2 linked regions of the Rattus norvegicus genome follow. The protein of the gene in region 2 binds, or shares a complex with, the protein of the main gene of each other region. Links are inferred from orthologs where the notes say so. Each region holds a gene or a part of one and is shown on either strand. Other genes may lie near its edges.

The links.
Region 1: the proteins of Bmpr2 (region 2) and Inhbb are in contact, whole or in part, in a crystal structure (PDB 7U5O), measured with the Homo sapiens proteins. The link is inferred for Rattus norvegicus from reciprocal best matches to the Homo sapiens genes BMPR2 and INHBB. Residues at the interface, in NP_001195.2 of Homo sapiens: Tyr40, Tyr67, Leu69, Val80, Lys81, Trp85, Ser86, His87, Ile88, Gly89, Asp90, Gln92, Ile108, Gln109, Tyr113, Phe115; in NP_002184.2 of Homo sapiens: Phe309, Asn318, Asp319, Ile322, Ala323, Pro324, Gly326, Tyr327, Tyr328, Thr379, Met380, Ser381, Met382, Leu383, Phe385, Asp386, Asn390, Ile391, Val392, Lys393, Asp395, Ile400.

Annotation. Positions count from the first base shown.
Region 1 is NC_086031.1:33,086,476-33,090,781, forward strand, and holds the start of Inhbb (inhibin beta B chain precursor), read right to left. Parts: upstream 2,899-4,306; coding exon 2,439-2,898; intron 1-2,438. UniProt on the Homo sapiens protein: Inhibins and activins inhibit and activate, respectively, the secretion of follitropin by the pituitary gland.
Region 2 is NC_086027.1:68,735,030-68,738,835, forward strand, and holds part of Bmpr2 (bone morphogenetic protein receptor type-2 precursor), read left to right. Parts: intron 1-1,830; coding exon 1,831-2,001; intron 2,002-3,591; coding exon 3,592-3,762; intron 3,763-3,806. UniProt on the Homo sapiens protein: On ligand binding, forms a receptor complex consisting of two type II and two type I transmembrane serine/threonine kinases.

The sequences.
Region 1 (4,306 bases), on a different chromosome or scaffold from region 2:
TGGGACCCCAGCTTCTGCCATAACCTGTCAGGGGCAGAAGAAACACTTCCCATTGACAGAACAGGACTAGGGTGAAGCCAGGAGGTCCGGACCATAAAAAATCCTTGCCTCACCTCTCCCAGGCTATCAGATTGTCAGGCCTCAAAGCTCAACTTGTCAGGAGGCCAAAATCTTAACAAGTTGTTATGGGTTCTCTGAAAACAAAACTAAGATCCCAGGGAGGATTTGGGATTTGGGAGGGTAGGTTTAAATAGGGTTTCTTCTCCATCTCCTTCTCCTTCTCCTTCTCCTTCTCCTTCTCCTTCTCCTTCTCCTTCTCCTTCTCCTTCTCCTTCTCCTTCTCCTTCTCCTCCTCCTTCTCCTCCTCCTTCTTCTTCGTCCTGGTTAACTTGCGGCATTGCAAAATCAAGCTGAACCATCTACAGCCTCTTTTCCAGTGTTTGCCTAAACATGATCTGACCCAAGCCTCAGTGGGACCTCCACTGCAAACAAGCAAGCTCTGTTTGAGTTTTTGACGTACAAGTGTTCACCCTGCAAGCTGCAAAGGGCAGCCCCTGTTTCCTAGGCGTCCCAAGGGACAGGACAGGGAGTCTTGAAAACTCAAGGTCTGATCCTCTGGCCAGACCCTGACTCCCAGAAGGCAGCAGTTTGAGATCTCTAAGGTTGTGGGTTATTAGTCATCACAATAATTCAGCCCAGCCTGAAGAATAGTTCTGCCAGAACTGATGTCCCTTTCTGGAAGAACATTCCATCAACCCTTCCCTCTGATGGCCTCTACATATTCAGCAGACATGACTGGTACTATCAAACCTCACACCAAGCACCCCCCACCGCTCCCAGCCCCTTCCTCAGTCCTCACTGGCTCCTTTAATAACGCTGACATCTGACTTTGAAAAGGGGGAAACTGCAGCCTTAAAAGCTGGTCTTGGCCGAGCTGCCTGTGACCTGAATCTGTTATTTATAAGTTAAAGAGCTGGCTCCGTGAATCGGACCAGAAATATAACAGCCCCCGCTGTCATTTTGTGCCACCGGGACCAAAAGGCCTCTCGACCTTCCCGAGTCACGTTTCCCTTCTGGGCCCCAATGCACCTTTTAATCCAAGCCCTCTAATTGCATGTGGAGTTTTCCCTGACTCTGGCGGACAGCTAAAATGGCAATGTATTTCTTTCTAAGGACAAACCGGCCTTGATTGTCTCTGCCTTTCTCCACACCCGGCCATGCAAAACTTTTCATCCCTTTTTATCCCCCGGCAGCAGCACAGGCAGGGTCTGCCTGATGCCTGAGAGAGTAGGGGGCATTTGCAGCCAGGAGCATAGCTGATCCCCCCCCCTCTTCCCAGGCTCCCTGCTTGTCCCCCACCCTGACTACATCGGGCTTCCCCCTCTGCGACCTTCTCTGCAGTCCCCTCTGCACAAATGGGGCTGAGCTCCCAGCACAAAAGCCAGACTAGCTCATTCAAGTCCTGAAAAGGACAGCGATGTCTAAAGTACTTACACCGTTTCTGCCCGGGAAATTTTCCTCCTTTTTAAACTTCCCAAAGATTTTTTTCTTTTCTTTTTCTCTGAATTTTATATTTAGATAGTGGACAGAAATTTGCAACATGGGGCCTGGGAGGACGTTGCAGAAAGGAATACCACTCTTTGTTAACTACAAACTCTGCCTCTCTTTCCCGAACCAGAGAGGGCTGCGGCTGCTGCCAGGCAAGCCTAAAGGCATGAGGCTGTTCCTGAGCCGCGTCTTTACGTAAATGATGGACCTGTTGAGAAGCTGCCTTCCGCCGACTCTGGTGCCCACACAATCGGAAGGGAGGTTGCCTAGCTCTCCCCACCGATGCTTCAGCAATTCTGGCAAGTTCATGCCGCCGGGCGATGCAAGGGGCCCCGGGGGCCTCTCACGCAAGCTGGCTGGCTCTGGCTGGCGCTCTCTCTCTCTCTCTCTCTCTCTCTCTCTCTCTCTCTCTCTCTCTCTCTCTCTCTCTCCTTCCCTCTCCTCTCCTCCTCTCCTCCTCTCCTGCCCACGTATATCAACAAGCACACACATCTCCATCTCTACACTGCTAAGCCTACACTCCGATCGTGGGAAACAAAAACATTAAGCAATCACTAAGCAAGTGCCCGCAGAGCCAGGGCTGCGCGCATCTGCCGGGAGGGGGACGCGCGCCCAGAGGCGCTGGGGCCCAATTCCCGTGAGCCAGGATGAAGGGCAGGGTACTTTCCAGTTGCTGCAGGGAAAGGGAAGCCGCAAAGGATCTGTAGTCTGGACGCGCGACATAGGAAAGGACCGCCACCATGAGACGCGCGCAAGGCCACCGCAGAACCGAGCCTTAATGCCCTCGGGGCGTGCGGGCTGCAGAGGCGGCGAAGGCAGCAGGAGCTTCCTAGGAGAGGGAAAACGGGAGGGATCACAGCCGCCTCTGGCTTCCCGGTGGCCGAACCCACCTGTCTCTGCAAAGCTGATGATCTCAGAGACGCGCTCCTGGCCGTCGGCGCCCGGGCTAGCGTGGCCGTCGAGGTGCGGGATCTCCACGCGGCCGTCCTCGCGCACCTTGCCGGCGTGCAGCTTGCGCAGGGCCGTGACCATGGCGGCCTTGGGGACAGCGTGCGTGATGTTGGGCCGGCCCCGCAACTGCAGGCGGCTCAAGATGTGTCTCTTCACCGCCTCCAGGAAGTCACCGTCCACCCGGCCCAGCTCCTCGGGCCGCCGGAAGCCGCCGCCGCCGCCGCCGCACGACGTACAGGTGTCCTGCGAGCCGCCCGGAGCTCCGGGTGGCGGGGGCGGGGGCGGCGCAGCGGGCGACGGCGGGGGTGTGGGAGAGCCCCAGGCCTCGGGTCCCAACCAGCCGGCCGCCAGAAGCAGAAGGCAGGCGGCCCCCAACGCCCGACCGGGCAGCCCGTCCATGGTGCGCCGCTGGCGACGAGGGCGCCCGCCGCGAGGCGAGGCGAAGCGAGCTCAGGGCCGGGCTCCGGGCTCCGGGCGCACCGCCCCGCCCCGCCCCCGCCCGGGCCTCCGCCCGCCCGCCTGCCGGGAGCGCCGCCGCCGGCTCGCAGGGGGAGGGGGCCGGCCGGGCCGCGGGGGTTCCCGCGCGGCCGAGAAGGGGCGCCGCGGGGACCAGAGGGGAACGCGGGTTGGCGGCGGGGGGGGGGGGGACCGCCGGGTCAGTGGCGCGCGGGCGTCTCGGGGCGCCTAGGCATCTGCAGCCTGCCCATCCTCTCCGCGTCGAGGGCCACCGCAGTCCCCCGATCGGGGTGAAGCGAAAGCGAGGAGCGGCGGCAGCGGCGCTGGCACGATGGCTTGGCTTGGCCGGGCTGCCAAGGTGGAGGGAAGAGGCAGCAGCGGACGCAAGTCGCTCTGGAGACTGAAGCGAAGGTGCCGGAGCCCCCCGGGCGCGGCGCTGCGGAGGGCGCTGCGGCTGGGGCCCCACGACCGCACCTGAGCGCCTCGCCCTGTCGCTGCTCACAGCGAGGACACGGCCGCCCGAGGCGGCGGCAGTGATGGGCAGGTCGTTCTCCCTTGCTCCCGGCCGGCGGGAGGAGAGCGCGGTGCGGGGGAGCGCCGCCGCGCGGGCCCCTCTCACTGGCGGCGCCGAGACCTCCTGGGCGGCTGGCCCTGCAGTCCTCCGAGCGCGTCACCCGGCAAAGTTGTCTCTGGGCTCCCCCGGGCGCCGCATCCACGGGCGGGCGGGCCGCGGCGCGCTTCTCCGGGGCCTCCGCTCCTCCCTGCTTCCCTGCGCCCGGCTGCCTGCGCGGGCCGGCCGGAGCGGCGGAGGAGGGAAAGGCGGTGGCAGGGCCCTTCTCGCCGCTGTCTCTTCTGCCTGCTGCGGCAGTGGCGGCCAAAAGTCTCTCTGTGTCCCCGGGATCGAGTGCCCTGGCTCGTACTCCCACTGGCACACGCCGCAGGGCCGGGGAGAGAGCGGGCGGTGGCGGTGGCAGCAGCGTCCCCGCGCCCAGCCGTGGCTCTGAGTGCAGAGCGCGCCCGAGGAGTTCTTCGCTTTGCCTTCTCTTCCTTTCCACTCCCTGTTCTTTTTTTCCCGAGGGGTAAAAAAGCCGCACAATCTCCGTATGTGCGCGCGCGTTGAGATAGACGTTGGCAGGAAAAAAAGGGGGGAGGGGGGAGTGTCGTCCGGGCCGTGCGGGAGGAGACGGTCCGCGCCTCCCCGCTCGGGCTTCCCGGGGGCGGAGGGGGAGGCGGATTCTGCAGGTCGCTGCTGCCTGATCCTCCTCCCACCCCCTCTTTCCTCCGCTCTTTCCCTGTCTGCCTTGGCGAGGAGGGGGGAGGAGGCTCTCTCCTCCCTGCCCCCCCCCCACCA
Region 2 (3,806 bases):
TAGTTTAAAATATATACATCAAGTCACATTTGTTTTTCATTGATTACTATCTGTGGTTTGGTTTGTCAGAATAAACTATATTATGAAAATTTGATAACCGCAATACTATATACCTACTTGTAAACATTCCGCTTACTTGACCTCGTACTTTGAAAGTGCTTCACATAGCAATAAATGTAGCAGGTCTATTTATGTAAACTGGGTGGACAGAGTCATTAAGCCTGTCATTCCTTTTCTGTGCTTCAATTATGTCCAGAAACATTAATTTAATAAATAATATGTATTGTAAAGTGTTCCTGAATCATACTATTCCAATTCTATACACGTCAAATAAAGAACTGATTCAGAAGGTCATAAGAAAGTATTGATTATGTTTAGTGATTATCTTTCCTACTCAGACATATTAGAAAAATCTATTTTAAAAAACCTAAATAAAGATCAGATGGTGCTTTTGATAACCTTTTACCTCCTTGGTACTTTCACAGTGCTGGTTAGTGTTTGTTAATCAGTGAGTCACGTGACAAATGCTTTATTGGAGTCAGCTAAATCACGTAGTATAGATGAAGAAACACAGGTCGGCATTAAACTAAGGAACAACTACCTTACTCCTTGAAGAGCTGCTGTACATTTTGTCCGGCTGTTTTAAGCAAAATAAAATCATTTTCTTTTTGCTCAGAATTCTTGGGCTTTTAGGATTTTTCTTTTCCTTTTTTAAGATTTATTATATATATGTTACACTCATACACACATACTGTAGCTGTCTTCAGACACACCAGAAGAGGGCATCAGATCTCATTGTGAGCCACCATGTGGTTGCTGGGATTTGAACTCAGGACCTCTGGAAGAGCAGTCAGTGCTCTTAACCACTGAACCATCTTTCTAGCCCGGATTTTTGTTTTTGACTGTTCACTTTTTAAGGCACGGTCTCTCTATATAGCCTGACTGGCCGGGAACTAGCTATGTAGACCAAGTTGGTTTGTAACTTAGAGATCTGCTTGCCTCTGCCTCCCAAGTGTTGGATTAAAGGCATCCAATATCATGCCTGGCCTCCTCTGTGTTGGTTTTAAAGGTTAGTTTAGAACATGGTATTTCTCTGTCTCTCTGTCTCTCTGTCTCTCTGTCTCTCTGTCTCTCTCTCTCTCTGTCTCTCTCTCTCTCGTTTGCTCTTCTGGAAGTCACTATGTAGACCAGGTTGGCCTGGAACTTAACAGCTATCCACCAGCCTCTGCCTCCTTCCCTGTCCTTCTGCTGGAATTGAAGGTATATACCACCATGCCCTTGCAGAAGATGGTATTTCTTTTTTTGAACAGCAAAACATATTTAATAATAGAAAGAATGATAAGAATTATATGTGTAAAAGTCTGTCATCAGGGAATATACTTTCTTTAAATTCTTATTGCTTGGATATAAAAATTAATGTCCAAAGGGAATTGCTGGAGGGTGTGGATAAAAGGATGGTTCAGTAGTTAAATGCAAGTGTACTGCTCTTCTAGAGGACCCAAGTTCAGTTCACAGCAACCATGCCAGGCAGCTCACAGTCACCTTAACTCCTGCTACAGGAGCATCCAACGCCTCTGTGGGCACCTGAACTCATATGCACACACACGCTTAAAAAAATGAACATAAATCTTGAAACAGAAAATTTTTGGGTAAATGTAAAATTTAAAATTTATTCAACAATTAAATTTGAAGAATTTAGCAGGAAAATTTATAATCTTACTTAAATTAGATTATCATATATTATTAAATGAAATCTTAAAGATTATTTTAATCAGTAGTATTATCAAAGAAACATCAATTTATCATTGTGTTCTTTGCTCTGTTTTTCAGCTTCCCAGAATCAAGAACGGCTGTGTGCATTTAAAGACCCGTATCAACAAGACCTTGGGATTGGTGAGAGTCGAATCTCTCATGAAAATGGGACAATATTATGCTCCAAAGGGAGCACATGTTATGGTCTGTGGGAGAAATCAAAAGGGGACATCAATCTTGTGAAACAAGGCAAGTAATATTTTTTTAAAAAATTATTTACCTTTTTATTTTATGTGCATCGGTGTTTTGCTTGTATGTATCTCTGTGTGAGAGTCAGATCTTGGGAGTTACAGACACTTGTGAGCTGCCATATGGATGCTGGGATTTGAACCTGGGCCCTCTGGAAGAGCAGTGAGTGCTTCTAACAGCTGAGCCATCTCTCCAGTCCCCAAGTAACACCTTTTTTTTTTTTTTTTTTTTTTTACTTAATTGCTTTGTGCTTTTGTGCTTTTTTTCTTTTGGGTGCTGAGAATCAAACACAGACCATTGCACATAGGCAAGCTCCCTGGCGCAGGGCTATATCTTTAGCATTGTTTTCATACAGTTGGAACTTATCTAGAAAGGACATGTAGGTGGATTGAAATCCTATCCAGTAAATAAGATAAACACATAAATATATCTATAATTCACCCACAAGCTCCAAATTCATAAAAGGAAGTTTACTTTTAGTGTATGTAGTTAGTTTGCTCATTTGCTTGCTTGGCTGAAATAGGGTCTCACTGTGTAGCCCGGCAGGCCTGGAGTTCACAGAGATCTGCCTTCTTCTGCTTCCCAAGTGCTGAGACTAAAGTCATGCTCCACTGTGCCTAGCCTTTTAGTGTGTTTTAATAATGTCTTTCTCTTTACAAGTTAATGTTTGTGAATGAAGTTTGTATAAAAACCCAAAAAACTATTTAGAAAAACCAAGGTCTACAACTCACTTTTCTTAAAAAAAAAAAAAAAAGTTTTGTGTTGATTCCCCCCCCTTGGGTACATTTTTCATGTATTTTAATATTTATATGAGTCCCAGTCTTCTTTTAAAATTAGAATAATGTTATATTATTCCAACCTCTTTTCCCCCATGTTATTGTAAATGCCCTCTGAAGACATGTGTACCTCAGCACTATATTTCACTGTGTATATGTATTACGGTTTACATAAACGCTTTGAACACTATGCTGTTTTAAGGTTTTCACTGAAATGCATATCCAGCAATGGAAACCTTCAAACATATATAAAAGTTGTGTCTGATTGCTTTTTTTTCTCTCTTTTGTTTTTTTTTTTTTTTTTTGGTTCTTTTTTTCGGAGCTGGGGACCGAACCCAGGGCCTTGCGCTTCCTAGGTAAGCGCTCTACCACTGAGCTAACTCCCCAGCCCCTTTCTCATTTTTTTAAAAGTAGATTCTTTAATGTAGAATTAATAGATCATAAAAATATATGGTTATTTTAAAGGCTTTACATTAAAATTGCTATATTTTTCCAAAATTAACACACAAACTGATTACAGAATTGTAAGAGAGTGACTGTCACTGAATCTTTGTTACGATTCCATTAATTTTTTAATTGAGACGATTTAAATCTAAGTGCTCTTTCTTCAATAGTTCTCATAGTAATGGCGCAGCTAATGGTAATCGCTTTGTTGGCTGCCTTCCCCGTGAGATGTCTGTGGAACCCTTTACCATTTTCACTCAGTTTCTTTATGACTGTACTACTTAGTTTTATATGGCTGCTACAGTTACTTCATAATCTGTTGTTTTCCTTACTGTACTGTTTCCTAACTTGCTTTAATATTGATCTGTAGGGTGCTGGTCTCACATTGGTGATCCCCAAGAGTGCCACTATGAAGAATGTGTAGTAACTACCACCCCACCCTCAATTCAGAATGGAACATACCGTTTTTGCTGCTGTAGTACAGACTTATGTAACGTCAACTTCACTGAGAACTTCCCACCTCCTGATACAACACCACTCAGTAAGTATTAACAGGAATTTTTTTTTTAATAATTCCTTGTTCTA